Linked DNA regions of Oryctolagus cuniculus. The protein of the gene in region 2 interacts with the protein of the main gene of each other region in a pairwise test. Links are inferred from orthologs where the notes say so. Each region holds a gene or a part of one and is shown on either strand. Other genes may lie near its edges.

Region 1 (10,187 bases), on a different chromosome or scaffold from region 2:
GTATTTAAAGCAGGTTTAAATAAACACAGCAACCCTTTCTCTGGCTTCTCACAAAAGGACATTAAGAAAACTTATCCTCATAGGTAAACCCAGATATTATTGAAAGGAGATGCTCTTATTTTTTAAAATGTGTTTTCTTTCCTCTTTTTTAACAGGAAGTGATTTTAGTAAGTGCTGAGAGAATGTGTAAACCCATCATAGGTGGGTTTATCATAGGTGACACTATTATAACACTGTCACAGGAGAATTCACACCTATAGATAAGTTAGTGGAAGAACAAAGTTAGTTTTGAAAGGTTAGAGAAAATGATGTTGAAATGTCAGATGCCCTCTATAAACTTGACCACCCTTGGCATCCTTCTTTTAATCTACCTGGGCTTGAGAAAAGCCTAGGGCATTTGAAATGAAGACAATTAACACCTCAGACAGGGCATTCACATGTAAAATTTTGTCACCTCTCAAAGACCTCAGGAGGTGACAAGTTTAGATGAGAAGACACTTTCAACCTTGGCTGACAGCTCCTCTAACTTGCAATACTTTTATATTTGATTTAAATGGCATCTATATCATAAGAAGTCAGTTTTCTTTAAACTGTGAAGCCCTCTTCCTCTGCTCTAGAATTTTTATTCTTTAGGCTCTTTCAAAGCACCAAGAAGAAAAATATTTTCCCTACTGGGTGAGATTTCAGGAAACAAGTCTTGCTTATTCAACACAAATGAGTTCAGTCCATTTTTTCCGGTTTCTCTCTCAATAAGCCCATTTGGCTTTCCTTTAGAGCCCAGGGTATTATAGCTGGAATTGAACTAAGGGGTCATCTGTTTCAACTCCATTTGACAGACAAGAAAAATGAGGCTCAGAGAGAGGAAGTGAGTTAGTTGCAAAACAGGGTGTAAAATTTGAATCTCATAATTACTGGCCTAATATTCTTCCAATTCACTTTGCCATTTTTTTTTTACCATTTGTTTATTTTTTTTAAAGAGTGACAGAGAGGCAGAGGGAGGGAGGGAGGGGTGAGAGAGAGAGAGAGGTCTGCCATCTGCTGGTTCACTCCCCAAATGGCCACAATGGTCAGAGCTAGGCCAATCCAAAGCCAGGATCCAGGAGCTGTTTCTGGTTCTCCCATTCTGGCCACTTTGTACTGCTTTCCCAGGCCATAGCAGAGAGCTGGATCGGAAATGGAGCAGCCAGGACTTGAACCGGCACTCATATGGGATGCTGACACTGCAGGCGGCAGTTTTACCCGCTATGCCACAGTGCCAGCCCCCATTTTGCCATTTTCAAAGGTGGGCTACAAACATATAGAAACCATATTTGTGTGTGTGTGTGTGCACATGTGTGCATAAAATAGTATCATTTTCTAAAGTTATTTGAAAGAGTGACACACATGCACACACAGTTTTACATTTGCCGGTTCACTCCCTAAATGCCTGCGACAGCCAGGGCTGGACTATGCTGACCAGGAGCCTGGAACTCCATACAGATCTCCCACAGGGGTGGCAGGGGGTCAAGTACTTGGACCATCGTCTGCTTCCTTCCCAGGAGCATTGGCAAGAAGCTGAATTGGAAGTGGAGGAGTTGGGATTTGAATTGGCATTCTCATATTGGATGCCAGTGCCACAAGTAGTGGCTTAAACCGATGTGCTACAATGCTAGCCCATGTTTTACCTTATTTCCTTAAGAGCATTAATTTAAATCATTACTCAACATATGTAGCATCTACCATGTGTCAGACAAGGAAGATACAGTGGTGAACGCAAATCCTGCCACCTTGGACCTTATAGAGACAATAAACAGACGATTTTGCTCCTAAGTGGTATATATTTTGTACCTGGAACCCATTGTTCCTATTACTCTGTTGGCACTTCCCACTATCTCCATTGCTCTCCTCTTTCATTTTTCCCCTTTCCTCTCTGGGGAGAGATAAGGAAGCCAGCCATTTCAGTTCCTCTTTTTTTCTACACTTTAAGCTCAGTGTGTAGCACTAGAGTGACGATGTCAGTATTTTTCATCAACACTACACTAGTGGGCTGGTTTGGCTGTCAGCTTGCTTGTGAAATGACAATGAGGTATTGGATGTGAGAGCTGTACTATTACCTTATAATTTATCCGCCGTTTTTTTAAAATGTGATTTTAGTTGTGCTGAACCCTATCATACCTGGCTGCTTTGACAGGAGTGCTATTTTAGCAACATGGAACAAAACAGAGAAAGAAAAGAAGTACGTATGGTACACTTGTCCTGTCAAATCCAGGTTGCTCTGTTCCCAAGTGTGTGGATGATTTGTCAAAATTGTTTAGAGACAAAAAAGAAAAGTTACATTTTGTTTTTAATCTGTGTCACACCAAATGTTCTCACAGTTTACTTCACAGGTGGGCTGTTGTCCATATGGGCTTATATAAGGGGTTCCCCTCCCCTGTCTTCTTTCATATTTGAAATTCCACCATTGTGATTAGTTTCTCTGGGATAATCTTTTGCACATTCAAAATACAGAGTCCAGGGGCTGGCGCTGTGTTGTAGCAGGTAAAGCCACCACCTGTAGTGCCGGCATCCCATATGGGCACCAGTTCAAGTCCTGGCTGCTCCAATTCCCATCCAGTTCTCTGCTATGGCCTGGGAAAGCAGTAGAAAATAGCCCATGTACTTGGGCCCCTGTACCCGTGTGGGAGACCCAGAAGAAGCTCCTGGCTTCCGATTGGCACAGCTCCAGCTGTTGTGGCCAGTGGGGGAGTGAAACAGCAGATGGAAGATTCTCTCTCTGTCTCTGTCTCCCCTTCTCTGTGTAACTCTGACTGCCAAATAATTTTTTTTAAAAAAGCTATACTACTATAGTTTTAATGATCTGTGATTGCTTTAAAATTTACTGTATATGGGTGAAATGACCATTTTTCCATTCAAATATTTATAGCTGTTGTTTATATTCCCACTAAACTAGGGTCTTTTTTACTTTTTACTTGCTAAACTTAGTATTAAGCGTTTTCACTGTAACATAAATTTAAAATGTTACCTCAAAAAGGAAGAGAATATTATGTTTGTGTCTACAAAGCACGTTCAATCTGTAAAAAACTAATTAAAAATCGTTAAAGTCTCTAAAATGTGAAAAGAAATGAAGGAGACTTATATTTCAGCTACTATGGCTGGGCATTCTTCCACCAAGGAGAGCTGTTGCTGGCTACCACTGAAATCTTAAAGGATTGTCCTTTTTTTTTTTTTTTTTTTTTTTTTTTTTGACAGGCAGAATGGACAGTGAGAGAGAGACAGAGAGAAAGGTCTTCCTTTTGCCGTTGGTTCACCCTCCAAAGGCTGCCACGGCCGGCGCACTGCAGTCGGCACATTGAGCTGATCTAAAGCCAGGAGTCAGGTGCTTCTCCTGGTCTCCCATGGGGTGCAGGGCCCAATGACTTGGGCCATCCTCCACTGCACTCCCGGGCCATAGCAGAGAGTTGGACTGGAAGAGGGGCAACTGGGACAGAATCCGGCGCCCCAACCGGGACTAGAACCCCATGTGCCAGCCCTGCAGGCGGAGGATTTAGCCTATTGAGCCGTGGTGCTGGCCAAAAGGATTGTCCTTAACCCTCATAGTTGGAGGGAAAATAACCATCTTTGGCTCTGAGCATCCAATTCATTGGTTAAGATATGAGGGTTTAAATGTCCTCCCAAGAGAGTTCCCAGCCCAGACGCATTCTCAGAAAAGTAGGTGGTGAAGTGGTGAAAGGAATACAACAGACAACATAGCTTCAGCTCTTTGTATTCCAATTCTAAAAGTATTTTACATAATCTAACGTGACATGTGTAAGACTGTTGAGTTCCAGGCATTAAACGATGTCTAGCAAAAATGGAGGAAGTTTTTGGGAAATATTACTTATCACTATTTGAAATAGAAGCAATGCTTTATTTCAGAGAAGAAAATGTAGGCTGAAGGCTTTTAAAAAATTAATGACAGCTTAACATCAATTGAAGAAGAAGCCATTCTCTAGAAACAACAGAATAAAAGTTACCACACAATTATCAACATGCACAAAATGTTGTAAAACAAGTTTTATGGCTGAAATCCTGAAAAGCGGGCCCTACACACCAAAGGGCATAGACAAATCCATGTAATGATGAAGACCCAGTTAAATGATTTGGCTTCATTCCAGGGCCCAGCAAATAGACAAATCTGGAATACCTTTGGACATACACTGGGATTTTTGTACCTCCTCCAGCACATTGGGATCCTAGACAAGGTGCTAGAAAAAAAATCAGTATTTACTTAGGACCAGGATCGTTCAAGATGACTATCTGAGTTAGGAGCTGAGAGAGAGGAACTTGCCCAAAGTCTATTGTTCACCTGCTTCATCTGATTCTGCAGGAGTCTCATGGCCATGATCAGTAGTAATTGCATATAGAAGGTGCCGTTTCGGTGCTTTGGTTTCAGAGCTTTTAGTCCTTCCGTCTTCAGTAGGTTTCAGCCCCGCATGACACGCTGCCTCTATCAACTCCTTTGAAGATCGGGTAAGCTAAGTCATTCCCGGTGGCCCCAGGGGGGAAAATGCAAGAATCGAAGCATTACCAAGCACTCTTGTCAGTGGGTGAGAGTCTGCATTGGCAGTACAGCCCAAATCGTGCAAAGTCCGTTTTCCAAGGTTGCACTCTTTGTAGGAACCCTATGTTGGTTGGGGGGTGGGGACCACACCCGGTGACAAGTTTGATAGAACCAAGCGGCTAAGTTGCTGAGCTGGTTTTAATTGAAGTGTGAGAGGGAGGTTTTTAGGCAGGTAGACAACATCCTGTTGTTCCGGTGCTTCTCTTTCTTTTTGCACATTTAGCTGAACTGGGAGTCAGGTGGCTGACTTGTGCCTGGCTGCAGCAGCTGCATCTCCCAAGTACCATCTGCAAACCTCGGCCTGCCCCAGAGTCTCCTAGGCAATGGATGCGGTGGCTGTGTATCATGGCAAAATCAGCAGGGAAACCGGGGAGAAGCTCCTGCTCGCCACCGGGCTGGACGGCAGCTATTTGCTGAGGGACAGTGAGAGTGTCCCGGGCGTGTATTGCCTTTGTGTGCTGTGAGTACGTTATGGCTGTGGCGGCGCAGAGTGTGGGCAGTGGGCACGGGGGGCCTGGGGGCAGGGATGCGGGTGGCAGTTGTTCATTAAGATCTCCTCTCCATGGCCGCAAGATTTCCTGTTCAGCTCCCACTTTGGCCGAGTGTCTTCCTGGGGATTTCATTCCCTGGCTGCCGCCTCTCCAGGAGGACCTCGCCAGGGACTTTCTGGGCAGCTGCAGAATGTAGCCTTGAGGATATGGGGAAGCATGGCCTAGAATTTACCTTTGCTTTGAGACTCGGGCTCCTGGCTTCCGTCTTGACTTCCAACTGAGGCCAGCAAGATGGAGTCCTGGAATGATGGGCCAATCAGATTTGGGGCCCCCAGCTCTGGAGAGAAGGAAAGGCCTCTCTTGAGATGGTTTGGAAGTGTCATCCCAAAGGAAGAATACCAAATTCAGGGAGAGGAGGCAGACTAAAGGGCAGAGTCCATTACTTTCAGAATGCGGCCACCAGTTGGGTCAGGACGCAGAGATGGGGTGTGTGTGAGTAAAACTGCTGCTCTGGATCAGCTTATTTAGCTTCTTTTAGAGGAGGTGTGTGGGGGACAGGAGGTTTTAAAAATAAGACCCTCCTCTATGAAAGCTAGGACCGATAGTGGTAAAGGGTGTGGCGGGAAAACACCCTCGTCATGATTCAGCTTTGCCTTTGTCTAGGCGTGTCTGGGTCTAAATGCCCCATTTTGAATCAGATGCACCTGCATCTTTGTTCCAGGGCTCCAGAGGCAGACAGCTGTGAGAGCGAAACCCTGTGCTGGTCAGAAGCCAGGTGTGTGGCCTTGGCAAATTAATGTCTTGGTCTTTCAGTTTCTGCATCCATTCAATGGGTATTACCCACCTCACAGAACTGTGAAGGTTCCGTGCTGTAATGCATGTAAAAAATTAACACTGAACCTAACACATAGTAAGTGTTCAGTAGAAATAAGATATTGGTATTATTACAATCAATCTTCTCTTTCAGTTGATTACTTTTAACACTCCTGGGAAGGACCTAGCTGAAGCATTGTCATCACCAGGATAAAATCACCCATGGAAACACCAGCACTCTACGTTAGGTTCTAGACAGAAACAAAATAAGGGCTAACGCTTGGTAGTCAGTCAGTTCAGTATTGATGATACATTGATTGTATATTGGTTTTTAAAAATGGCCAAGGTTTGTTAGTAGTAGTTCTGAGATTGTACTAAATACATTCATCATAAGGACTGCAAAGGAGATGCACACAAGTTACTGAATCTCTTGAGCTTGCAGTTTCATGTTTTCCTGATATTACTGTGCTTCCTGAGTGAAACCAGGAGAGGGTGGTGAAAGCCAACTAGGATTCTTAGGCGCTTTTCTTTTTAATTTAAAAAAAATTTAAAAATTTAACTGATATATGAAAATTGTACATATTCATGGGGCTCCATTGATGTTTTGATACGTGCATACGTCATGTAATGTTCAAATCTAGATAAACATGTCAATCTCCTGCAAGCATTTGTTGTTTCTTTATAGATAGACTCTTTCATTATCAAAAGAAGGTAGGGGAGTGAGTGGGAGGGTTGAGGGGGCTGCTTTAGGGAAGCTAGCCAAGGAGGTAATGTGCTTCTTAGCTTAGCGGTAAAGAGGAAGGCACAAAAGAAGCCTGGGCAGGGGTTGGGAGAGCGGGGGACAGTGTGTGGCTACGTACATTAAGGCTTCATTTTTGCTGGCCTCCTGGCCATTTCTTAAGCTCACTGAGTATGCTTCCTATTTAGGGTTTTTGCCCTTAATGCTCCTTCTGCAAAAATTTGATTTACATGTTTAGGCAACTGACTCTTCCTTCAGCGAGGCCTTCTCTGGCCACCCTATCTAGACTGAATGCCCTCTACCTCTCCCACTTACGTGCTCTTTATTTTTCTTCAAGGAGCTTTAAAGGCCTGACATTTGCATGTTTACTTAACTGTATTGCTGGGATCTTCTAGAAAAATGTAATCTCGGCTGGCACCGCGGCTCACTAGGTTAATCCTCCACCTGCGGCACTGGCACCCCTGGTTCTAGTCCCGGTCGGGGCACCAGATTCTGTCCTGGTTGCTCCTCTTCCAGTCCAGCTCTCTGCTGTGGCCCGGGAGGGCAGTGGAGGATGGCCCAAGTCCTTGGGTCCTTGCACCCGCATGGGAGACCAGGAGGAAGCATCTGGCTCCTGGCTTCAGGGTGGTGCAGCGTGCCGGCCATAGCGGCCACTTGGTGGGTGAACCAACGGAAAAAGGAAGACCTTTCTCTCTGTCTGTCTCTCTCTCACTGTCACTCTGCCTGTCAAAAAATAAATAAATAAAATAAATAAATAAATAGAAAAAATGTAATCTCCGTGAGGGCAAGGGTCTTCATCTCCAGCCCCAGGAATATAGCCTGGTGCATAGATAGGCACTCAAAAAATATTTCTGAATTAACCAACCAGTGAACTATAGAAGGAAATTCTGTTTTTTACTGCGAAGAGCCTTGATCCAGGGGCTTGCGTTTTGGTGAGATGGGTAAAGCCAATGCCTGCAATGCCAGTATCCTGAAGGGGCGCCAGTTTGTGTCCCGGCTGCTCCACTTCCAATCTAGCTCCCTGGTAAAAGCAGCAGAAGATGGCACAGGCGTTTGGGCCTCTGCACCCATGTGGGAGATTCAGATGAAGCTCCTGGCTTCTGGCCCAGCCCTGGCTATTCATCTACCCGGGGAGTGAATCAGCTGATGGAAGATCAGTCAATCCCTCCCACCCTCCCTCCCTCTTCTCCCTCCCTCTTCTCCCTTCCTCTCCCTTTCTCCCTGTGACTCTGACTTTCAAATAGATAAATAAATCTGTGCATGCATTGTGGGGGGGAAGAGCCTTAATCTGTCATCAGGAGGCTAGGAGGGGGGCTCCAGAGGAGTCACTCATATTCTCTAGGCCTTAGTTTCCATGTTTATAAAACAGGAATAGTAATGCATGTCTTCTGCAAGTTTGCTGAAAGTGAAATATGCAGAGAGAAGGACAAGTGTAGCCTTTTGCCCACATAGGCCAGAACCATACAAGGGATGAATTTAAACAGGAGGGAAATTCAATTCTCAAATGTGTAAATGTAGTTTGTATGACTCTTGGGTCTCCATGAAAGCCTCCTCGTGAAGCCACAGAAAATAGTAGGCAAATTGGGAGTTCCCTACTGTGTCTTTTGATTGGTACACTCTGGCTTCAAAGTTTTATGAGATTGTTAGGGTGATCGGCACACTGTGCTGCAGAGGGAAGACACAAGGACATTTTCCTTTGATCAGTGTTTCTCAACCTTTTTGAGCCACGTAGCCTTCTTGATAAACATAAACATTTCATTCCCTTTTTTTTTAATTAAATTGTATTTTGAAATAAGCCCTGTACTCATTTTAAACCAAAACACTTATGCTTGAAATATGCAGCTTAGGTGGTAATGTAAGTGGTATCATGTACTTATGAACCACAAGGTACAGCTAACAAACATGCATTGATTGTAGGGTTTACTCAGAATAGTTTCTCATTCTCTCTCTTTTTAAAAAGATTTATTTATTTATTTGAAAGAGTTACACAGAAAGAGAAGGAGAGGTAGAGAGGTAGAGGTAGAGGTAGAGAGAGAGAGAGAGAGAGAGAGAATCTTCCATCTGCTGGTTCACTCCCCAATCAGCCGCAATGGCCAGAGCTGTGCCGATCCAAAGCCAGGAGCCAGGAGCTTCCTCTGGGTCTCCCACATGGGTGCAGGGGCCCAAAGACATGGGCCATCTTCTTCTGCTTTCCCAGGCCACAGCAGAGAGCTGGATCGGAAGCGGAGCAGCTGGGACTTGAACCGATGCCCATATTGGATGCCTGCACTGCAGGCGGCGGCCCCTCTCATTCTCTTGTTTGTTCCCATTGACCAAGATTTGGTTGAGCTTTAGTTCATATATATATAGACAGGCAGAATGGACAGTGAGAGAGAGAGACAGAGAGAAAGGTCTTCCTTTGCCGTTGGTTCACCCTCCAATGGCCGCCGCGGCTGGCACGCTGCGGCCGGCGCACCGCGCTGATCCGATGGCAGGAGCCAGGTACTTATCCTGGTCTCCCATGGGGTGCAGGGCCCAAGTACTTGGGCCATCCTCCACTGCCTTCCTGGGCCACAGCAGAGAGCTGGCCTGGAAGAGGGGCAACCGGGACAGAATCCGGTGCCCCAACCAGGACTAGAGCCCGGTGTGCCGGCGCCGCAAGGCGAAGGATTAGCCTAGTGAGCCGCGGCGCCGGCACTCCTATATATATTTTTAAAGATTTCTTTATTCACTTTGAAAGTCAGTTACAGGGCGGGGGACAGAATGTGAGTTTCCATCTACTGATACATTTCCCCAGATGGCTGCAACAGCCAGTTTTGGACCAGGCTGAAGCCAGGAGCTTTATCCGGGTCTCCCATGCAGGTGGCAGGGGCCCAAACACTTGGGCTGTCTTCTCCTAGGCCATTGGCAGGGAGCTGGATTGGGAGTGGAGCAGCTGGGAAATGAACTGTTGCCCATATAGGATGCTGAAATCACAGGCTGTGACTTTACCCGCTACACTGTGGTGCTGGCCTTTCTGTATTTTTCTTGTAATAGATTTCAAATGCCTTTCAAACTGTACTTTAAGCTGTATTCTCACACTACACTTGCTCTTTTCCCCAATTATGAACCCTCTAATCATGGATTTCAGATATGGCCTTTTCTTCTGTTCGGTTTCAGAAGCCAAAGCTTTATGAATTTCGTAAAGCACTAAAGAAGTTTCCCATTTATCGGACTATTCAACTTCATTTTAAGTCAGAGGTTTTTCATCCAATCATATTCTTTAAGCACATCTGGATTTTTGTATCATAAGTCTATTAAAATAGTTCCTTATACCTATTCAATATAAAAAATTTGAAAAATATAGATAATGGAAATAAGGGAAAAAAGTCATCTATAGTTTTACAACCTAAAGATAGCTATCGTTGAAAATTAAGTGAATTTTCTTCTGTATCTTAATAAGATGAATTGCTTTGTGAGCACACATGTGCTCTTAAAATATTGTATTCTGCGTTCCCATTTAACATGTAATATCCACTTCTTATAATGTTCTTACAAATGATTTTGAAGCATTACTTTTAATGGCTTCATGATAGTGTAGCTAGCT
Region 2 (9,643 bases):
ATACAGAAACACCACTGCTGGCACCCAAACCACTGCCCAAAGACGTGTGACCAAGCCAGGAAGCCCGGGGTGAGCGTTCCACACAGTGGTTGAGACGCTGCTGGGGACGCTGAGTCCCATCCCGGAGCGTCTGGGTTCTAGCGGTGGCTCCGCCCGACCCCGGCTTCCTGATGACGCACGCCCTGGGAGCCAGCAGGCGACGGCTCCACTGGCTGGGTCCCTGCCCCCACCGCGGCAGACCTACCCCAACCCCACCTCAGCCCTAACCCTCACCCCAACCCCACCCCTAAATGTCACCACCAGCCCAACCCTAACACAAACCCTAACCCTAATCCCAACCCTAACCTTCACCCCAACCCCACCCCAGCCCTAACTCTAACCCTCACCCCAACCCTAACCCTTACCCCAACCCCACCCCTAACAATCACCCCCACCCCAACCCTAGCCCAAATTCTAACCCCCACCCCCACCCTAATCCTAACCCTAGCTCCTAACCCTAACCCTCACCCCTACGCCAACCCTAGTCCTAACCCTTAACTCCTAACTCCTAACCCTAACGCTCACCCCTACCCCAACCCTAACCCTAACCCCAACCCACCCTAACCCCAACACCACCCCTAATCTTCACCCCACCCCCACCCCCACACCACTAACCTTCACCCCCACCTTAACCCTAACCCTCACCCCAACACCACTCCTAACCTTCACCCCCCCCCTAGCCTTAGCCCTAACCCTCACCCCACCCCTAACCGTCACCCCCACCCCCATCCTAGCCCTAACCCTAACCCCGCCCCTAACCGTCACCCCCCCCAGCCCCCCCCCAACCCGGGCAGCAGCACTCACTGGGGTGCACATCTGGCACCACAAGGACACGCTGTGGGACACGTGCCCAAGATCACTAAGTCAGGAAGAGCAGTCACGACTTCTGGGGCACTCAGGCCTCAGCAGCTGGCGGAGGGGACAGACGTCTCAGAATGGGACCTCGCGGGTTCCGATCACGTCAGCTGCTTTTCCCAGAGACAGAACACGCAAAAAGAGGTGCTGCCCTCGTAACGCAGTGAGCATGAACTCACGCGCACGGTCCAAGTGGACGGCTCGGGGGGTTCAGAGGGCAGAACCTGGTTTAACCTCCCACTAAACTAAACCCAGAAGAAAACCGTGACCCCTCCCCACCCCACCACGTGCCGTAAGTAAATGCCAACTGGTACACACGACAGAAAAGTGCAATGACATGAACCACGGGAAACATTCCCAGGAGTGACGGCCGGACAGGCACAGACCTTACAAGGCTCTAGACAAGCCCGCACCCAGATCTAAGCCCCTCTAATGCACTCTAACAAGCCCCAGACCAAGTTGTGACAGGACAGGAGTCCTGCTGGGTTTTGTCCTCACTGACGGTCCCTGAGGACCTGTGTGGCAGGACCCCAAAGAGGGGACAGACGGGTGGTGACAGTGGTGGGCTGCCATGACGACCCTGTGTGGCGGGACCCCAAGGAGGGGACAGACGGGTGGTGACAGCAGGTGGGCTGCCATGATGACCCTGTGTGGCGGGACCCCAAGGAGGGGACAGACGGGTGGTGACAGCAGGTGGGCTGCCATGATGACCCTGTGTGGCAGGACCCTAAGGAGGGGACAGACGGGCAGTGACAGCAGGTGGGCTGCCATGATGACCCTGTGTGGCGGGACCCTAAGGAGGGGACAGACGGATGGTGACAGCAGGTGGGCTGCCATGATGACCCTGTGTGGCAGGACCCTAAGGAGGGGACAGACGGGCAGTGACAGTGGTGGGCTGCCCTGATGACCCTGTGTGGCAGGACCCTAAGGAGGGGACAGACGGGTGGTGACGGTGGGCTGCCATGATGACCCTGTGTGGCGGGACCCCAAGGAGGGGACAGCAGGCGGTGACAGCAGGTGGGCTGCCATGATGACCCTGTGTGGCGGGGCCCCAAGGGGGGACAGACAGGTGGTGACAGCAGGTGGGCTGCCATGATGACCCTGTGTGGCGGGGCCCTAAGGAGGGGACAGACGGGCAGTGACAGTGGTGGGCTGCCCTGATGACCCTGTGAGGCAGGGCCCCGAGGAGAGGACAGACGGGCAGTGACAGCAGGTGGGCTGCCATGATGACCCTGTGTGGCAGGACCCCAAGGAGGGGACAGACGGGCAGTGACAGCAGGTGGGCTGCCATGATGACCCTGTGTGGCAGGACCCTAAGGAGAGGACAGACGGGCAGTGACAGTGGTAGGCTGCCATGATGACCCTGTGTGGCAGGGCCCCAAGGGGGGACAGACAGGTGGTGACAGCAGGTGGGCTGCCATGATGACCCTGTGTGGCAGGACCCTAAGGAGGGGACAGACAGGCAGTGACAGTGGTGGGCTGCCATGATGACCCTGTGTGGCAGGGCCCCGAGGAGGGGACAGACGGGCGTTGACAGCAGGTGGGCTGCCATGATGACCCTGTGTGGCAGGGCCCCGAGGAGGGGACAGACAGGCGGTGACAGCAGGTGGGCTGCCATGATGACCCTGTCGGCGGGACCCCAAGGAGGGGACAGACGGGCGGTGACAGTGGTGGGCTGCCATGATGACCCTGTGTGGCAGGACCCTAAGGAGGGGACAGACGGGCGTTGACAGCAGGTGGGCTGCCCTGATGACCCTGTGTGGCAGGACCCCGAGGAGGGGACAGACGGACGTTGACAGCAGGTGGGCTGCCATGATGACCCTGTGTGGCAGGACCCCGAGGAGAGGACAGACGGGCAGTGACAGCAGGTGGGCTGCCATGATGACCCTGTGTGGCAGGGCCCCAAGGGGGGACAGACAGGTGGTGACAGCAGGTGGGCTGCCATGACGACCCTGTGTGGCAGGACCCCAAGGAGGGGACAGACGGGTGGTGACAGCAGGTGGGCTGCCATGATGACCCTGTGTGGCAGGACCCCGAGGCGGGGACAGACGGGCGGGGACAGTGGTGGGCTGCCATGATGACCCTGTGTGGCAGGACCCCGAGGAGGGGACAGACGGGCGGTGACAGTGGTGGGCTGCCATGATGACCCTGTGTGGCAGGACCCCGAGGCGGGGACAGACGGGCGGGGACAGTGGTGGGCTGCCATGATGACCCTGTGTGGCAGGACCCCGAGGAGGGGACAGACGGGTGGTGACAGCAGGTGGGCTGCCATGACGACCCTGTGAGGCAGGCCCCGAGGCGGGACAGACGGGCGGGGACAGTGGCGGGCTGCCCTGATGACCCTGTGAGGCGGGACCCCGAGGAGGGACAGACGGGCGGGGACAGTGGTGGGCTGCCATGATGACCCTGTGTGGCGGGGCCCCGAGGAGGGACAGACGGGCGGGGACAGTGGCGGGCTGCCCTGATGACCCTGTGTGGCAGGGCCCCGAGGAGGGGACAGACGGGCGGGGACAGTGGTGGGCTGCCATGATGACCCTGTGTGGCAGGACCCCGAGGCGGGACAGCAGGCGGGGACAGTGGTGGGCTGCCATGATGACCCTGTGAGGCAGGGCCCCGAGGAGGGACAGACGGGCAGTGACAGCAGGTGGGCTGCCCTGATGACCCTGTGTGGCAGGGCCCCGAGGAGGGGACAGACGGGCGGGGACGGTGGCGGGCTGCCATGATGACCCTGTGTGGCAGGCCCTGGGGCGGGACAGCGGGCGGGGACGGTGGTGGGCTGCCATGATGACCCTGTGTGGCAGGACCCCGAGGAGAGGACAGACGGGCAGTGACAGCAGGTGGGCTGCCATGATGACCCTGTGTGGCAGGCCCCGAGGCGGGACAGCAGGCGGGGACGGTGGCGGGCTGCCATGATGACCCTGTGTGGCAGGCCCCGAGGGGGGACAGACGGGCGGGGACGGTGGTGGGCTGCCCTGACGACCCTGTGTGGCAGGCCCCGAGGCGGGACAGACGGGCGGGGACGGTGGTGGGCTGCCATGATGACCCTGTGTGGCAGGCCCCGAGGGGGGACAGACGGGCGGGGACGGTGGTGGGCTGCCCTGACGACCCTGTGTGGCAGGGCCCCGGGGGGGACAGCGGGCGGGGACGGTGGTGGGCTGCCATGATGACCCTGTGTGGCGGGGCCCCGAGGGGGGACAGCAGGCGGGGACGGTGCTGGGCTGCGGTACCTCGCTCCCTGCACACTGCATCACGACCTGCGACATGAAGATGACGCTGCCCAGGGTCTTGATGCCGTCCCCCTCCCAGTTCCGGATGGCCTCCGTCAGGATCTGGGACTCCAGCTCTTTCCTCTTCCGCACCTCCTGACACTGGGCCTGAGACACAGAACGACACTGTCAGACAGGACCTCCCGAAGCTTCCAGACTGGCTGTGCTGTCTCTGCCTGACCCCTCCCACTGACAGCCACTGCTTCCTGGCCTACCTCCTAAGACAGGTAATCGACTGACCTGCTTGACTGTATGGAGTTGGAAACATTTTCTTTAAAAAAAAAAGTATGGGATTAACTCACAGAAGCAAACACAACTTGGCTGCAACACCCAGCAGTATTCCTACAAACAGAGCAGATCCTGCCACTGTAGGAACGGAAGCGGACGCTCTGGCTCACTGGCCTCGCCAACATAAAGGCCAAAGACAGTAAGGGCCAGGGCAACTGTGCTCCCTGGAGGAACACGTGTGGGCGGAGCCACCGGAGCCCCGCTGTGGCCGCGGCTGTGACACTAAGGAGTGGTGCCTTCCAGAATCTACAGCCACCAGGTCCCTCAGCGGGTGCCCAGCGCCCGCTCCAACAGCAGTGACGGCCACGGGGTCCCCACGCCTCGCTCATCGTCATCTCTCATGCGAGCAGACGCTGAAGCCGCGTGAAAGCAGCTCTCGTCACCTAACCTGTCCCTCCCGATTCACTGCCACACTCGGCTCCAGCACTTACAGACAGGTTCTTGAAGGCAGTCATGGACTTCTGGATATCCTGTCTGTCGGGATGATGATCCTTTGAAGAAGAAACACCCTATGAGCTTCTGCATCACAAGCCAGGACGCCAGCACCGCTCACTCCGCAGCCCTGCTCTCCTCAGCGGGAGCCACGGGATTTAGCGTGGGGGAAAGACAGCGGCGGGGCAGGCGTCAGCAAACGAAGCCGGTTTCGTGAATGATGCGTTCCTGCAGCCTGCAGCTTCAGGCTGTCTCCGGCCACTGCTGCGCGGACCGTCAGAGGGTCCTGGCTAGTGCCCTGGTGACGGGGGCCCCGACAGCTCCTCCCTCCACCTGTCGGAACACACAGCCCGAGTCCCTGGCTAGTGCCCTGGTGACGGGGGCCCCGACAGCTCCTCCCTCCACCTGTCGGAACACACAGCCCCGAGTCCCTGGCTAGTGCCCTGGGTGACGGGGGCCCCGACAGCTCCTCCCTCCACCTGTGGGAACACACAGCCCGAGTCCCTGGCTAGCGCCCTGGGTGACGGGGGCCCCGACAGCTCCTCCCTCCACCTGTGGGAACACACAGCCCGAGTCCCTGGCTAGCGCCCTGGGTGACGGGGGCCCCGACAGTTCCTCCCTCCACCTGTCGGAACACACAGCCCGAGTCCCTGGCTAGCGCCCTGGGTGACGGGGGCCCCGACAGCTCCTCCTCCACCTGTCGGAACACACAGCCCCGAGTCCCTGGCTAGCGCCCTGGGTGACAGGGGCCCCGACAGCTCCTCCCTCCACCTGTCGGAACACACAGCCCGAGTCCCTGGCTAGTGCCCTGGGTGACGGGGGCCCCGACAGCTCCTCCCTCCACCTGTCGGAACACACAGCCCGAGTCCCTGGCTAGCGCCCTGGGTGACGGGGGCCCCGACAGCTCCTCCTCCACCTGTCGGAACACACAGCCCCGAGTCCCTGGCTAGCGCCCTGGGTGACAGGGGCCCCGACAGCTCCTCCCTCCACCTGTGGGAACACACAGCCCGAGTCCCTGGCTAGCGCCCTGGTGACGGGGGCCCCGACAGCTCCTCCCTCCACCTGTCGGAACACACAGCCCGAGTCCCTGGCTAGTGCCCTGGGTGACAGGGGCCCCGACAGCTCCTCCCTCCACCTGTTGGAACACACAGCCCGAGTCCCTGGCTAGCGCCCTGGGTGACGGGGGCCCCGACAGCTCCTCCCTCCACCTGTCGGAACACACAGCCCGAGTCCCTGGCTAGCGCCCTGGGTGACGGGGGCTGCGACAGCTCCTCCCTCCACCTGTCGGAACACACAGCCCGAGTCCCTGGCTAGTGCCCTGGTGACGGGGGCCCCGACAGCTCCTCCCTCCACCTGTGGGAACACACAGCCCCGAGTCCCTGGCTAGCGCCCTGGTGACGGGGACCCCGACAGCTCCTCCCTCCACCTGTGGGAACACACAGCCCGAGTCCCTGGCTAGCGCCCTGGGTGACGGGGGCTGCGACAGCTCCTCCCTCCACCTGTCGGAACACACAGCCCGAGTCCCTGGCTAGTGCCCTGGTGACGGGGGCCCCGACAGCTCCTCCCTCCACCTGTGGGAACACACAGCCCGAGTCCCTGGCTAGCGCCCTGGGTGACGGGGGCCCCGACAGCTCCTCCCTCCACCTGTCAGAACACACAGCCCCGAGTCCCTGGCTAGGGCCCTGGGTGACAGGGGCCCCGACAGCTCCTCCTCCACCTGTCAGAACACACAGCCCGAGTCCCTGGCTAGCGCCCTGGGTGACGGGGGCCCCGACAGCTCCTCCCTCCACCTGTCAGAACACACAGCCCCGAGTCCCTGGCTAGGGCCCTGGGTGACAGGGGCTGCGACAGCTCCTCCTCCACCTGTCAGAACACACAGCCCGAGTCCCTGGCTAGCGCCCTGGGTGACGGGGGCCCCGACAGCTCCTCCCTCCACCTGTCAGAACACACAGCCCGAGTCCCTGGCTAGGGCCCTGGGTGACGGGGGCCCCGACAGCTCCTACCTCCATGTGTCTTTCGAGCTCCTTGAGCAGCGTGGGGTACTTGTCGAGGCGCATGAAGGGTCTGCTGAGGCCGGTGGTCAACACGAGAATCCCCGGGCTGTTGGCACCTTTCATCTCCATGAACTCCCCCAGGTCCTCACTGGGCAGGGCGGAAGATGGAGCTCGGGTCAGGGCGAGTGGTCCTCACGGCTCTCTGACTTCCACTGAGGGGCCAGCACTCACAGCAGGCGACACTGTTCCGACTTGGGTTTTGAAGCCTACACACAACTTTGCTAAGCAAACATGAGCTGCTCTTCTGAAACGCCAAAGGAGACCCCCGGAGGGTCCCAGCTCTGCGCTCCCACGAGCAACAGCAGCTGTGCGTGTCGCGGGATCAGCAAGTCTGCGCAGTTCTGCTAGCGCCAGAGTGGGCCACGTCCCGAGCTGCCCAGACGGCCCCCAGAGGCCCTCCTGCAACCCCATCCAGGGCCCCAGCTTCTGCACACCCAGCAACGGCTCCCGACCTGGAGGCCGCGCAGAGCACCACAGGCCGGGAAGCAGCACGGTGGAGGCTTCACACCTCCCACACCACTCCGTCGTCACGTCGCGAGAGGAGAGGGGCAACACTGCACGTCCAGAGCCCCACCGAGGCGCGGCCTCCCCGCTCAGCACCCTGTCCCAGCGTCTCGGTCAGCCGAGTGTTCCCACAGGGGCCCTCCTCATCCCGCGGTTCCACGCCCGTCGCCTCTGCCCTCACAGTTCCACAGGAACTGGGCTCACACCAACACGTCTGTGAGTGCTGCTCGCTACTGGACACTGACTTCACCTCTGCCGTGGGGCCCGGCCTGCCACCCTCACCCCCCGTGCATCACCTCCAGCCCTGCAACCATGCCAGCTGGGAGAGGGGCACGCCAGCCCAGGCACCTCGTGCCACGTTCTCCAAGCGTGAGCCCTCAGCACCTCGCCAGATCCTGAAGACCAGGACAACCCCTAGCACTTCACCACGTCCCGGGAGATCCGGGAGACCCTCTGGTCGCGCCACGTCACCTCCCAGGAGACAGGGCACCTCAGTCACCACGTCACACCCCGAGGGGCCAGGACCACCCCCTCGTCACCTGTCACCCCCTGGGAACCAGGGAGTGCCCTCAGCCATCAGTCCAGTGTCAGGACCCCCACGCCTCGACCCAAAAGGCTGGACTCAAATGACCCCCCCAGCAGCACCCTGAGCAAACCTCTTTTCCTAGCACAGAGGCTTTTCTGCAAACAGGAGGAGGTGTCTCTCAGAAAGCTACGAAGGGCGCTCTAAGAGACCACAAAGATCCTAACAGAAAACCTGAGAGGCCACACTCCGTTCAGGTTTCCAAAGGAGCCCGGGACAGCCCTGCCAGGCCACACCATGCCGGCTCCAGACCTACGAGGCCTTGGCGACCCCCGGGCACAGCAAACACTCACAGGCTCCCGGTGGTGTCGGGCTGAGTTCAGATGGTGACTCCTATAGCCCGACGCCCACCCTCCAACAACCGCACGAGGAGAGGAGCCGGGCGGGCACCTCGGTGGCTCCGCCCAGCCATCCACCCAGCCTCACGCCATGCCGCCTAGGCTTCGGAGGGCAGGAACACGCCGCCCGGCCAAACCACCTTAGAAACGTGCCGAAACCATGCCGCCTTGAAGGAAAGCAGCCTTCCGTGCCCTGAGCACGTCACACAGCTCAGACGCCACCCGGCACGCACAGGACTCACAGCCCCATCAGCCATCCACACCAGCAGCAGTCCTTCAGATCAGCGGACGTGCACACTCAGGTATCGGCCAAGCCAAGCACCGTCCTAGCTATAGACCAGCAGAAAATAGCCTGTCCTCAGTGTACACAAGGCAGCCTTCACAGCTACACATCAAAACATGGCCAACAAAACCACCCAACTCCTTCTGAGGGCTGGGGAGGGTACCGTAGGGTGTGTACACACCCATGTGTTTTGCAGGCAACACGCAACTCAACACCTTCAGTCTCCAATTTTTGTGCTTCCTAAGAACTGTGTTCAAGGTGGGCATCTGGCCAAGGGCAGGTGCTTGGTGTAGAGGTGACGTGTTGGTGTAGGGGTGTTGGTACAGTGTGTGGTGTAGAGGTGAGGTGCTGGTGTAGAGGTGAGGTGTTGGTGTAGAGGTGAGGTGCCGATGTAGAGGTGAGGTGTTGGTGTAGAGGTGAGGTGTGTGGTGTAGTGTGTGGTGTAGAGGTGAGGTGCCGATGTAGAGGTGAGGTGTGTGGTGTAGTGTGTGGTGCAGAGGTGAGGTGCTGGTGTAGAGGTGAGGTGTGTGGTCTAGAGGTGAGGTGTGCAGTCTAGAGGTGATGTGTGTGGTGTAGTGTGTGGTGTAGAGGTGAGGTGCTGGTGTAGAGGTGAGGTGTTGGTGTAGTGTGTGATATAGAGGTGAGGTGCTGGTGTAGACGTGAGGTGTGTGGTATAGAGGTGAGGTGTGTGGTACCGAGATGAGGTGTGTGGTGTAGAGGTGAGGTGTTGGTGTGGAGGTGAGGTGTGTGGTGTAGAGATGAGATGTGTGGTGTAGTGTGTGGTGTAGAGGTGAGGTGTTGGTGTAGAGGTGAGGTGTGTGGTGTAGTGTGTGGTGTAGAGGTGAGGTGCTGGTGTAGTGTGTGGTGTAGAGGTGAGGTGTGTGGTACCGAGATGAGGTGTGTGGTGTAGAGGTGAGGTGTTGGTGTGGAGGTGAGGTGTGTGGTGTAGAGGTGAGGTGCCGGTGTAGTGTGTGGTCTAGAGGTGAGGTGCCGGTGTGGAG
Region 3 (10,407 bases), on a different chromosome or scaffold from region 2:
CTGGGAGGGTGGCTGCTGGGCTCTGACCCCACCTTACACAAACCTCTGTTCCGTAGTGAAAGATGGTAGGCTCCAGGGATTGACCCGCTCTGCGGCTACTGCCCAGGCCCTGGGCGCACACTCAGAAATCAGGCAAGGGCCATGCATGGCACAGGGTTTGAGTGAGGTGTTCCCGCCTCTGATCTGAGAGGCTGGGAGAGCCCCAGGTGGTAAGGACACCCCAGGCACTCATCCAGCTCAGGAGATGCATGCTAGTGCCACCTGGTGGCCATCTCTGGCCGCGGCGGTGTTCCACTGCCAGGCTGTAACTGGAGAGGAGCTTGCTCCCTCCCCTAGGAGCTGGTGTGAACAGATGCAGAGGGTCAGGCCTGGGCAGCAGGGATCCCTCAACCCAGACGTCCTGTTCTGAGACTCTCCCCATTGCTCTGGTCTGATTCTGCCTTGTGTGTGCGGCAAAAAGCCCGACTTGTGGGCACGCGCTCAGTGCAACATGGGCCGTGCACCTTCTCAGAGCCAGCAGCTACTCTGGGCACTGCAGTCACAGGCGGATGTCTGACATGTTCCCTGCTCTTGCTCCAGCTAGGGAGGCTGCCCGTCACTGCAGCTCTTGCCGACGGCAGGAGGCACAGGGGTTGGAAATACCACCCGGGATGGGGCGGGAGTCTCAGGAACACAGCCAGGGCAAGAGCCCAGGCCATTCCCAGGGCAGACGGGTTCCAGGCCCGGCGTGTGGGCTCAGCTGTGCCGTCCATGGGCTGTGGGACTGGAGGCAGGACGCTCAGCCCGTCTTGGCTACCTCATCTGAGGAGGGACTGGCAGAGCTGTTGAGAGGATTAAGTGAGATGATGCGTGCAAGGCATCCAGCCCGTACTTAGAAGTTCGCTTTCGGTGGAGGCAGGGCTGAGGCGTGCCCTGTGCACTGTTGGAATGTTGGGTCCCTACAGTGAGGGTGGTGCCACTGGGTGGGAAAGGCGCCCAGGCGAGAGGGAACGGCGCAGCACCTGGGGCGGGAGATGCCGAGGTGCTCCCGAGGTAGCCGAGAGCCCGTGAAGGGGCCCCAGACAGAGCAGGCAGGGTCGGGGTGCGTGCCGAGAGTGCCAGCTCCTCCCGAGGCGGCGCGAGCGGCCCTGCTGCTGGGTAACAGCTGCTGTCCTGTTCTTCCCTCTGCTGCCTTCCTCTGGACTTAGGTCTCGGCAAAAGTGCATGTCTCAGAGGTATAGAGGCTGTGGCGGGCGGGCGCGGGCGTCGCGGTCCTGTCTGCCTGGGAGCCCTGCATGCCTGGGAGGTCACCACAGGGGCCTGGCCACCTCTCACGGCCCTTCTTTCCCTTGCGTCTCCCCTCCTCGTCCCCAGCCTGGACCTGTCTGAGTTGGCAAAAGCTGCAAAGAAGAAGCTGCAGGCGGTGAGCACCCTGATGCTCGGAGCCCCCCACTAGCCCCCCCCGCCCCTGCACCCTTCCTGTCTTGGACCTCGGCTCTGCCTTCCATGTGCTAGGGCTCCCAGGGCCTTAGCCCCACCTCTGACCTACGAGGAATCAAGTAGTCCTGCTCCCTTCTGTCCTCGCCCTCCCTGGAGCTTGGACCCAAGCCCCTGCCTTGTTTTCCAGGTCTCAGAACACGGGGCTGGGTGGCAGCAAGGACACGAGCCTTTCCCCTGCCTCACGCCATCCTAGCCAGCTGGCCTGGCCAGCACTGGGGCCAGTGATCTGACAGAATCTCATCCCTCTCTGCCTCCAGCTCAGCAACCGGCTTTTTGAAGAGCTTGCCATGGACGTGTATGACGAGGTAGACCGGAGAGAGAATGACGCGGGTAAGTTCGGGGATGGCGGTCGGCCCGAGTGCCTCCCCTGCTGGGCCCTCAGTGGAACCCAGAAGAGGTGCCTGGCCGCGTCCCCGCTCCTCCCTCCCCTCTGCCCCCCACGTCACTGCCTCCTGGCCACAGCCAGATTCCAGCCTGAACTGGGGCTGCTGGATGGAGGGCGGGGTGGGCGTTGTTCTGTGCCTAGTCCCCCGCCAGCCTCATCCTGCATAAGCCTACCGCTCTGTTGAGCAGGCTCGGTGGGCATGGGGAGGCCCGGCCACCATGCTGATGGCCTCTCTGTCCCTCCCCCACAGTGTGGCTGGCCACCCAGAACCACAGCACACTGGTGACGGAGCGCAGCGCCGTGCCCTTCCTGCCGGTTAACCCGGAGTACTCGGCTACCCGGAATCAGGTCAGAGGGTGGTCTCTCCGTCCCCAGGAGCCCTGCCCTTCCTCAGCGCTCTGGGACTGGGCTCCTGCCCACCCTCGCCCCTCGCTGAGCTGGGGTTGGGGAACCAGGAAGACGTTGTTACTTTGAGTACTTGGCCTCTTCCCAGCGGGGCCCTGACGGACCAGCCCTGATTCAGGCGGGTGGCAGGGCAGTGCCTGGCGGCCCCGTCACTGCCAGTTAGGGGTCAGCGTGGTCTTCCCTGCCTTGCAGGGGCGACAGAAGTTGGCCCGCTTCAACGCCCGCGAGTTTGCCACCTTGATCATCGACATTCTCAGCGAGGCCAAGCGGAGGCAGCAGGGAAAGAGCCTGAGCAGCCCGACAGGTGCGGCGGGCGCGGCTCCCCCTGCCTGGGGAGACAGCCCAGGGGAGGCGCCCCGAGTGACAGGCCCTGTGCCCTCAGACCACCTCGAGCTGTCTGCACGGAGCCAGAGCGACCTGGACGACCAGCACGACTACGACAGCGTAGCCTCTGACGAGGACACGGACCAGGAGCCCCTGCGCAGTGCCGGCGCCACCCGGAACAACCGCGCCCGGGTCTGAGCACTGCCCCCGGCCCCAGCTCTACCTCCTCCCAGCGCAGGGATCGCCGGAGCCCCGGGCTGCGCCCGAGGGCTGACGGCCGGCGTGTCTCCCCACAGAGCATGGACTCCTCGGACCTGTCGGACGGGGCGGTGACGCTGCAGGAGTACCTGGAGCTGAAGAAGGCCCTGGCCACCTCGGAGGCCAAAGTGCAGCAGCTCATGAAGGTCAACAGCAGCCTGAGCGACGAGCTCCGGCGGCTACAGAGGGAGGTCAGCGCTGTCACCATGGCCACGGCCGGGGTTGTAGCGGGAGGGGGCCCGGCTGCGCCCCGCGGCCGACACACCGGTGTCCACCTGCAGATCCACAAGCTGCAGGCAGAGAACCTGCAGCTGCGGCAGCCCCCGGGGCCGGCGCCCACACCCCCGCTCCCCAGTGAGCGGGCGGAACACACCCCCATGGGGCCCGGCGGGAGCACCCACCGCAGGGACCGCCAGGCCTTCTCCATGTACGAGCCGGGCTCTGCCCTGAAGCCCTTCGGCGGCGGCGCGCCTGCGGACGAGCTCAGCACGCGGCTGCAGCCGTTCCACAGCTCCGTGAGTGCCCGCGGGCCTCGGGGCGGGGGCGGGGGCACCGGAGGCGAGCCCTGACGCCGCTGTGCTGACCCCGCAGGAGCTCGAGGACGACACCATGTACTCGGTGCATGTCCCTGCTGGCCTCTACCGGGTAAGCAGAGCCTGGGGCGGTCACACTGGGCACGCTGCGGGGGGTGGGGGAGGCGCTGACTCCAGCCCCGCCCTGCCTTGCAGATCCGGAAGGGGGTGTCTGCCTCAGCCGTGCCCTTCACGCCCTCCTCCCCGCTTCTGTCCAGCTCCCAGGAAGGAAGCCGCCACGCGGTAACGCCCGCCGCCCAGTACCCAAAGGGGGCTGGGGGCGACTGGGGGCGGGGGCGTGTGGGCCCAGGCCAGTCTGGAGCACTCACCCCCTGCCCCTCCACCCCCTTCAGAGCAAGCTCTCGCGCCACGGCAGCGGTGCTGACAGCGACTATGAGAACACACAGAGCGGGGACCCACTGCTGGGGTGAGCGCCCTGGGGTTTGCACCACAGCCCCCCACCCCGCCCCAGGTCAGCGCTGGGACCAAACGTCCCTCGTGTTTGACCCCGGGACAGGCTGGAAGGGAAGCGGTTTCTGGAGCTAGGCAAAGAGGAGGACTTGCACCCGGAGTTGGAGAGCCTGGACGGGGACCTGGACCCCGGGCTGCCCAGCACAGAGGACGTCATTCTGAAGACAGAGCAGGTCACCAAGAACATCCAGGAGCTGCTGCGGGCGGCCCAGGAGTTCAAGCATGACAGGTATGCCGGCAGGCCTGCCGCAGGAGAGGGGGGAGGGGCAGGCAGCCCCCAGCGTCCCTGGAAACCAGCCCGGAGAGCCCACTCGTTTCTGCCCTCCCTCCAGCTTTGTGCCCTGCTCAGAGAAGATCCATCTGGCTGTGACCGAGATGGCCTCTCTCTTCCCAAAGGTACAGGGGTCAGAGTGGGAGCCCGAGGGGTGGGGCAGACGTGGACAACGTGACAGCTCCCTGGGCAGAGGCACAGATGTGCTGGGCTTAAAGTCCAAGGCCCGGCCTCCCGTCTCCCTGCAGAGGCCAGCCCTGGAGCCGGTGCGCAGCTCCCTCCGGCTGCTCAACGCCAGCGCCTACCGGCTGCAGAGTGAGTGCCGGAAGACGGTGCCGCCGGAGCCTGGCGCCCCCGTGGACTTCCAGCTGCTGACTCAGCAGGTGATCCAGTGCGCCTACGACATTGCCAAGGCTGCCAAGCAGCTGGTCACCATCACCACCCGAGAGAAGAAGCAGTGACCACTCTCCCTACACCCTTACCTGCACCCTGGGACCTCACTGGCCACGGGAGCTGGGCCACTCCAGACACTAATCCCCACCCCACAGAGCCACTGGCACAAGTGCCCTTAGTGCTGCCGCCCTCCTCTGGCAGCCAGGCGCCCTGGTGCCCACCCTTTCAAGCCCCCAAGGATGGGGAGGTGGGGTGGCAGGACCTTCTGTCCCCCACATTCCATGTACCTCCCTCCCTGTACATAGCGCCCCTCCCTCCTAGCGTGCAGGGGCCTGCAAGGCGTCATTCCCAGCACCCTCAGCCTCGGGTCAGGGAGACACTCCCAGTGGGGCCGCTCCCCCTGCGTCACCCCACCCCCATGAGCCAGTTCAGCCCTACTGGGGGCTGAGTGGGGGCATCCCCCCCTGTACATACTCTCTGTGGATGTCCCTGCCCCGCAGCCACCAGCCCCCTTGCTGCTCTCCTCTCATGCCAAACGGCCCCTCCCGAGGGCACAGGCCCCAGCCTGCGTGCTGGGGGCCTCAGCAGCAAACACTGGAAAATCTTTCCTCTCCTCTCCCTACTCCTTAACTTTAACTTTGTGGTAACTGAGTGTCCCTGCGTGCCTGCGTGTGAGTGTGCGGGCGGCAGTGCCGTCCCGGAGGCCTGGTCCACCTGGAGCTTGGAGGGACAAGGGGACCAGAGTGGGGGAACCAGCATTGGGGGACAGCCTCCCTCCCCCCAGCCTGGGGCCAGAGACTGCAGGCTCACCAGCTGTGGTCCTGCCCTATGTCCCTCGTCATCGCTACCCCCACTGCACCCCTTCTCCATGAACTTCAAACAAGAAAACCACTTCTCTCCCTCCCTCCTCCTCTCCCTCCCCTGTGGAGGGGAAGGTGTGCTGGCTGGAGCGGAGGACAGAGCACCTGAGCCTGGGGCTGGCTCCCCGGGGTCCCCGACTCAGCTGGTGGCTGCGGAGCTGACGGTCCCCTCCCCTTAACCTCGTGGAGGCCAGCACCACCATCACTACCTGCACCTGCTGTGGTCCCACCCTCCAGGGGCCTGGGCACCCCCCACCCCCAGCTGCAGGCCAGGCACGCTGGAGAGGCTTACGCCAGCACCCACCACCAGCTCTTGTCCCTGTCCTGCCTCTTCCCTGGGGGGCCAGGCCCTGCCTGCGTGGTGGTGGGCTGACTGTCAAGACGTGTGTCATGTACATTTGTATCAAAAATAAATAAGTGGCCATGTGCTGCTTCCAGTGCTGGGCGGTGCGGGGGCCGGGCACGCGGGCAGGGAGAGGCACCAGCCTGGCGAACGAAGGGCGCTGGTGCCAGCAGCCGGGGGGAGGTCCGCAGAGGGGAGAGCAGCCGGTGTGCCCTCCCCGCTAAGGCAAGCAACACGGGCGTCCGGGTGGGAGTCTGTGGGGCAGAGGCACAAGCTCAACTCCAGATTCTACTAAAATAATTTAATTAGAAATATGGGGAATTTCGGAACGGGAGGCACAAAGCTTCATTTCTCCCAGGGGCCACCCCTCCCAAGGAAGTCGGGCCTCGGCAATGCTGCGTCTGCCACCAGGGGGCGCTGCGGCGCGGGTCCACGTGGCAGAGGTCGCGGCCTCCCAGCGGGAGGAGCCCGTGGCGCCACAGCGGCAGGGCCGGGCCAGGTCAGTCAGAGCTGTCCCCATCCGGGCCACTGTCCGGTGTGGGCGGAAGGAGGGGTCTCCGTCGGGAACGCTTGCCGCGGCGCGGAGGCATTAGCAACCTCCGCTTCAGCACAGCTGCGGGCAAGATGGGGTGCAGTCAGGGACACGCCCACCGCCGGGAGTAGAGGGGTGGGGGGCTGGGGGAGGACACTCACCGGCCACCGTGTCCTGGCTGTCCGCGGAGGGCCCCCAGTAGATGCTCTCCCCTCTTCGGAAGTTTCGGTGCAGCCGAGTGCAGAGTGTGGCCAGCGTGAGCAGCACCAACAGGAAGGTCAGGGCCATGGCCGCCCAGGCGGCCTCCTCGGTGCGTGGTGTGGGGCCCTGAGCTGCCCGCGGAGGCGCTGCTGCCCGCGGGGCTGGGGAAGGCTGAGTGGGGCAGGCACAGCCGCCGGGGCTGCCTTGCCCATGGGGCTCCAGAGCCTCTGTCCTGGAGCTGGCCTTGCTCTCAGGGAGCCCAGGCAGCACTGTAGTTTTACTCCCCTTATCTAAGGCTCCCAACATGCGCTGCTGGGACTTCAAGCTCCAGGAGGAAGACGAGGCAGGTCTCGGGCCTGAGGGAGTGGGCTGGAGACCCAGGGCGGCCCGCAGCCCCCGCCTCTTGGCACCACTGGGAGAGGGCTGTCTGGGCCCTCTGGATGTCCCTGCAGCACCTGGGGGCCACCAGCTCTGCCGAGCAAGGGCCAGGGCCTGAGGGGAGAAGACACGGTGGTGAGCCCTGGCCTGCGCACAGAACCCAGTAATCCGGCTGCCCACCGAGCCAGCCCCGCAGGCCTTACCTGGGCACACCTCCTCCCACACAGCCCCGCTCCAGCAGAGGGAGGGGCCCCAGAAAGCCCGACAGAGTGGGGCCACTCCTTTCTCTGTCGCTGCCGCCGCCGCCTCTTCAGCCAGTGGGCGGCCCAGGCTGGCTCTATCCATGCCATCTCCAGGGCCACCCCCCAGGCTGTCAGCACCACGGGCTATGAAAGGAATCAGTCCTTAGAGCAAAAGGGGAAAGGGGAGCAAGCTCTCGAATTTTCCTTCCCAGCACGTGGGGCATCATCCTCCTTGCCCGACAGCACCTTCCACCTGCCGCTTACCCGCTCCCGAGTAAGACTGGAGTCGGGGGCAAGCGGGGGCTTCGTCACCAACGTGTGGGCCAGGAGGGCAAGCCGGAGCTTCAGCCAGGGGTGGGCACAGGGGTGGTAGAGGAAGCCGACGGCCTTGGCCTGGAGGAGAGGCACAGAGACGCTCAGCTAAGCCCCAGTCCCTCCCAGTCTCATGTTCCCCTATCCTGGGGGCCAGTTCAAAGCAAGTCCCAGGATGGCCAAACGGTCCTTCCACCCTCAGCGCCCAGGAAAATATGGAGGAACCCGGGTACTACTGTGCACTCTCCTGTCTGTGTGTTCCCGTCACCCCTCATCTCCATCAAGGGCTACCCTCAAAGGTCATAGCCCGGCCAGACGCACACCACACTCCTCAGCTGTCTCTCTGCACCTGCGGCACAGTGACGCCTCTGCAGGTGCACAGTCCAGACTCCAAGCGCCCCCAAACAAAGACCAGGTCTTTACATATAGGTTGGATTGGGAAGCAGTCAGTCCCCCAAGAGCTTCTCGATCCAGGGCATGCAGGCAGCAGGTGCACAACCTCAGGACTGAAATGCTTCCTTAATCATGAATCATTCTTTGACTGAGTCGACCTGGCGCTCAGCACTGAGCTATGTGCTGCAGCAGATGCAAACGAGAGCAGAGCCTGCGTAAGAAACTCAGGAACAGCCACTGCGAGTGCAAGAGTAAACTAACAAACTCCAAGTGGTCAGCAGAGAAGCTGGAAGAGACGGTTATGAGCATTACAGGAATTTGGGGGAGGATGGAAAAAAGAAGGCTGACAAGACCAGGTGAGATGAGGAGGCTGTGAGCTCTCCTGGGAGGCTGCGGAGAGCAGGGAGCTGCAGACAGGCCAGGGGTGGCGGAGAATAACAGAAGCACCTGTGTGGTGAGCCGACCACAACACCAAGAGGAACCAAGGGTTGGGAGAGGCCGGAAAAGGCTTCTTTAAGGTCTAAGAAGCCAGACAGGGCTGTGTGAGGGAAGGGCCTGGTAGGTGACAGGATGCAACATCTCTTGGTGTGGAGATAGGATCCCCAAACATTAGATATTGCAGAGGAAAACCCAATGCAGGGCCCAAGCCCTGGGGCCATCCTCTGCTGCTTTCCCAGGCACATTAGCAGGCAGCTGGACCAAAAGTGGAGCAGCCGAGACTCAGAGCAGTGGCAACACTGTCGCAGGAGTCGGCTTCACCTGCTATGCCACAATGACAGCCCTAACGTCTCCTTTTTTTCCCCTTCACTAGACTGAAAACTCTGAGGCCACGCACTGTTTGTCTACCACAATGATGTTCGCTGAATTTGTGAATAAGCTCATTTAAACTTTGCCACCATGAAGGGTACTATTTTATCCCCATTTAGAGATGACAAAAACTGAGGCTTAGCACAGTTGCTTAGCCAGCCCAAGGTAAATGCCTGTGTCCTCTCCAGTTTTGTGTGTGTGTGTGTGTGTGTGTGTGTGTGTGTGTTTTGACAGGCAAAGTGGATAGTGAGAGAGAGAGACAGAAAGGTCTTCCTTTTTGCTGTTAGTTCACCCTCCAATGGCCGCCGCGGCCGGCACACCGCGCTGATCCGATGGCAGGAGCCAGGTGCTTCTCCTGGTCTCCCATGGGGTGCAGGGCCCAAGCACCTGGGCCATCCTCCACTGCACTCCCTGGCCACAGCAGAGAGCTGGCCTGGAAGAGGGGCAACCGGGACAGAATCCGGCACCCCGACCGGGACTAGAACCCGGTGTGCCGGCGTCGCTAGGCAGAGGATTAGCCTAGTGAGCCGCGGCGCCGGCCCTCTCCAGTCTTGATTACGGAGCAACACCTGGCTCTCACCACGTACTTGCCCTGTTCATCTCTACCTCCTGAATGCCTTTTCAGTAAATACGCATTTATGTGTGGGGAAAAACCAATGAAAACCCAAAGGGACAAGAAAGTTCTCTGACTACGGGCAAAGATGACACTTGGAGAGAGGCAGCCGTGCAAGCTGAGCCCGCAGTTTGGGGCCTGAAACCCAGGACGCATGCCTAACAGGACACGGCCATGTGCCCTCCCAGGCTCTGTCACACCCTTCCCCCTTCACGGTGGAGGCAGAACATCCGCTCGTACAGAAAACTGGGTCCCAGGAAGCCGGACTGCCCGCAGCCACACAGCGGGGTCGGAGCCCGCCATTGCTTTTCCTGCTACCCTGACCCCGCGGGCAGCCGCCTGCCCACATAGCCCGCTACTCCACAGCTCAGGGCAGTCCAGCAGGCTGCCAGCTTCACGCCCACATCCCATATCGGACTGCTGGTGGGAGTCCAATCCAGCACTGGGAAGGCAGCAGAGGGTGCCCAAGTGCCTGGGCACCTGCCACCCATGTGGGAGACCCAGAGGGAGCTCCTGGCTCCTGGTTTCTGCTGACCCAGAGCTGCCTGTTTTAGCCAACTTGAGAGAACCAGTAGATGGGGCATTTCTCTTTCTCTCTCTCCCTCCCTCTGTTGCTCTGCCTTTCAAATAAATAAATCTGTATTAAAAAAAAAAAAAAAAAAAGCCGCTCCACAGCACTTCTGCGCACTGGGGCCTACGGCTCACCATCCCCGGGGACTGGGAACCGTGCCTCTTCCTGAGGGAGTGGTTAGCAAGGGAGCGACTAAAAAGAGCAGCGGGGGCGGTTCTCCCAGGGGCAGACGCTCTGGTGGGTCTGTGACTGTACTCACCTGCGCTGGGCTCACACGTGTGTAGGTCACTCTTGGGGACACCTACACATGGACAAAGACGACAGCTTAGAGCAGCGGGGTGCGCCCTGTGTTGGGTGAGGAGGTGCTGGCAGGTCCCAAGGGCCACGCTGGGATGGAAAAGTTGGCTACTGGGGCAGGAGGAACCGGCAGAGGTACCCGGAGGGTGCGCGTGGGGCGCGGCCAGAGCAGGACCCGGCTCCCCTTTCACACCCCTCTCACCCTCCTGCTCTCCAGGACTCCTACCTGTGGGGGCAGAGGCCACAGGCCCTCCGGACAGCCGACTCCTGCCTCCTCCGCCGGCCCAGTCACCACCTGTG

Evidence for each region.
Region 1: the proteins of ARHGEF7 (region 2) and SH2D1A interact in binary tests that used the Homo sapiens proteins (3 or more experiments, as listed by UniProt). The link is inferred for Oryctolagus cuniculus from reciprocal best matches to the Homo sapiens genes ARHGEF7 and SH2D1A.
Region 3: the proteins of ARHGEF7 (region 2) and GIT1 interact in binary tests that used the Homo sapiens proteins (3 or more experiments, as listed by UniProt). The link is inferred for Oryctolagus cuniculus from reciprocal best matches to the Homo sapiens genes ARHGEF7 and GIT1.

What each region holds. Positions count from the first base shown.
Region 1 is NC_091453.1:102,131,323-102,141,509, forward strand, and holds the start of SH2D1A (SH2 domain-containing protein 1A), read left to right. Parts: upstream 1-4,395; 5' UTR 4,396-4,488; intron 4,489-4,700; exon of another isoform or gene 4,701-4,802; 5' UTR 4,803-4,902; coding exon 4,903-5,039; intron 5,040-10,187.
Region 2 is NC_091440.1:2,031,618-2,041,260, forward strand, and holds part of ARHGEF7 (rho guanine nucleotide exchange factor 7), read right to left. Parts: intron 7,023-9,643; coding exon 6,884-7,022; intron 4,940-6,883; coding exon 4,880-4,939; intron 4,269-4,879; coding exon 4,122-4,268; intron 1-4,121. UniProt on the Homo sapiens protein: Acts as a RAC1 guanine nucleotide exchange factor (GEF) and can induce membrane ruffling. Functions in cell migration, attachment and cell spreading. Promotes targeting of RAC1 to focal adhesions. May function as a positive regulator of apoptosis.
Region 3 is NC_091448.1:45,034,226-45,044,632, reverse strand, and holds the end of GIT1 (ARF GTPase-activating protein GIT1), read left to right. Parts: intron 1-1,187; coding exon 1,188-1,214; intron 1,215-1,353; coding exon 1,354-1,402; intron 1,403-1,736; coding exon 1,737-1,809; intron 1,810-2,114; coding exon 2,115-2,212; intron 2,213-2,461; coding exon 2,462-2,573; intron 2,574-2,651; coding exon 2,652-2,785; intron 2,786-2,889; coding exon 2,890-3,042; intron 3,043-3,132; coding exon 3,133-3,366; intron 3,367-3,442; coding exon 3,443-3,496; intron 3,497-3,579; coding exon 3,580-3,666; intron 3,667-3,776; coding exon 3,777-3,850; intron 3,851-3,940; coding exon 3,941-4,123; intron 4,124-4,226; coding exon 4,227-4,290; intron 4,291-4,413; coding exon 4,414-4,626; 3' UTR 4,627-5,845; downstream 5,846-10,407. Other genes in the region: TP53I13 (tumor protein p53-inducible protein 13), read right to left, coding at 6,262-6,374, 6,455-6,986, 7,076-7,258, 7,379-7,507, 10,070-10,111, 10,334-10,402. UniProt on the Homo sapiens protein: GTPase-activating protein for ADP ribosylation factor family members, including ARF1.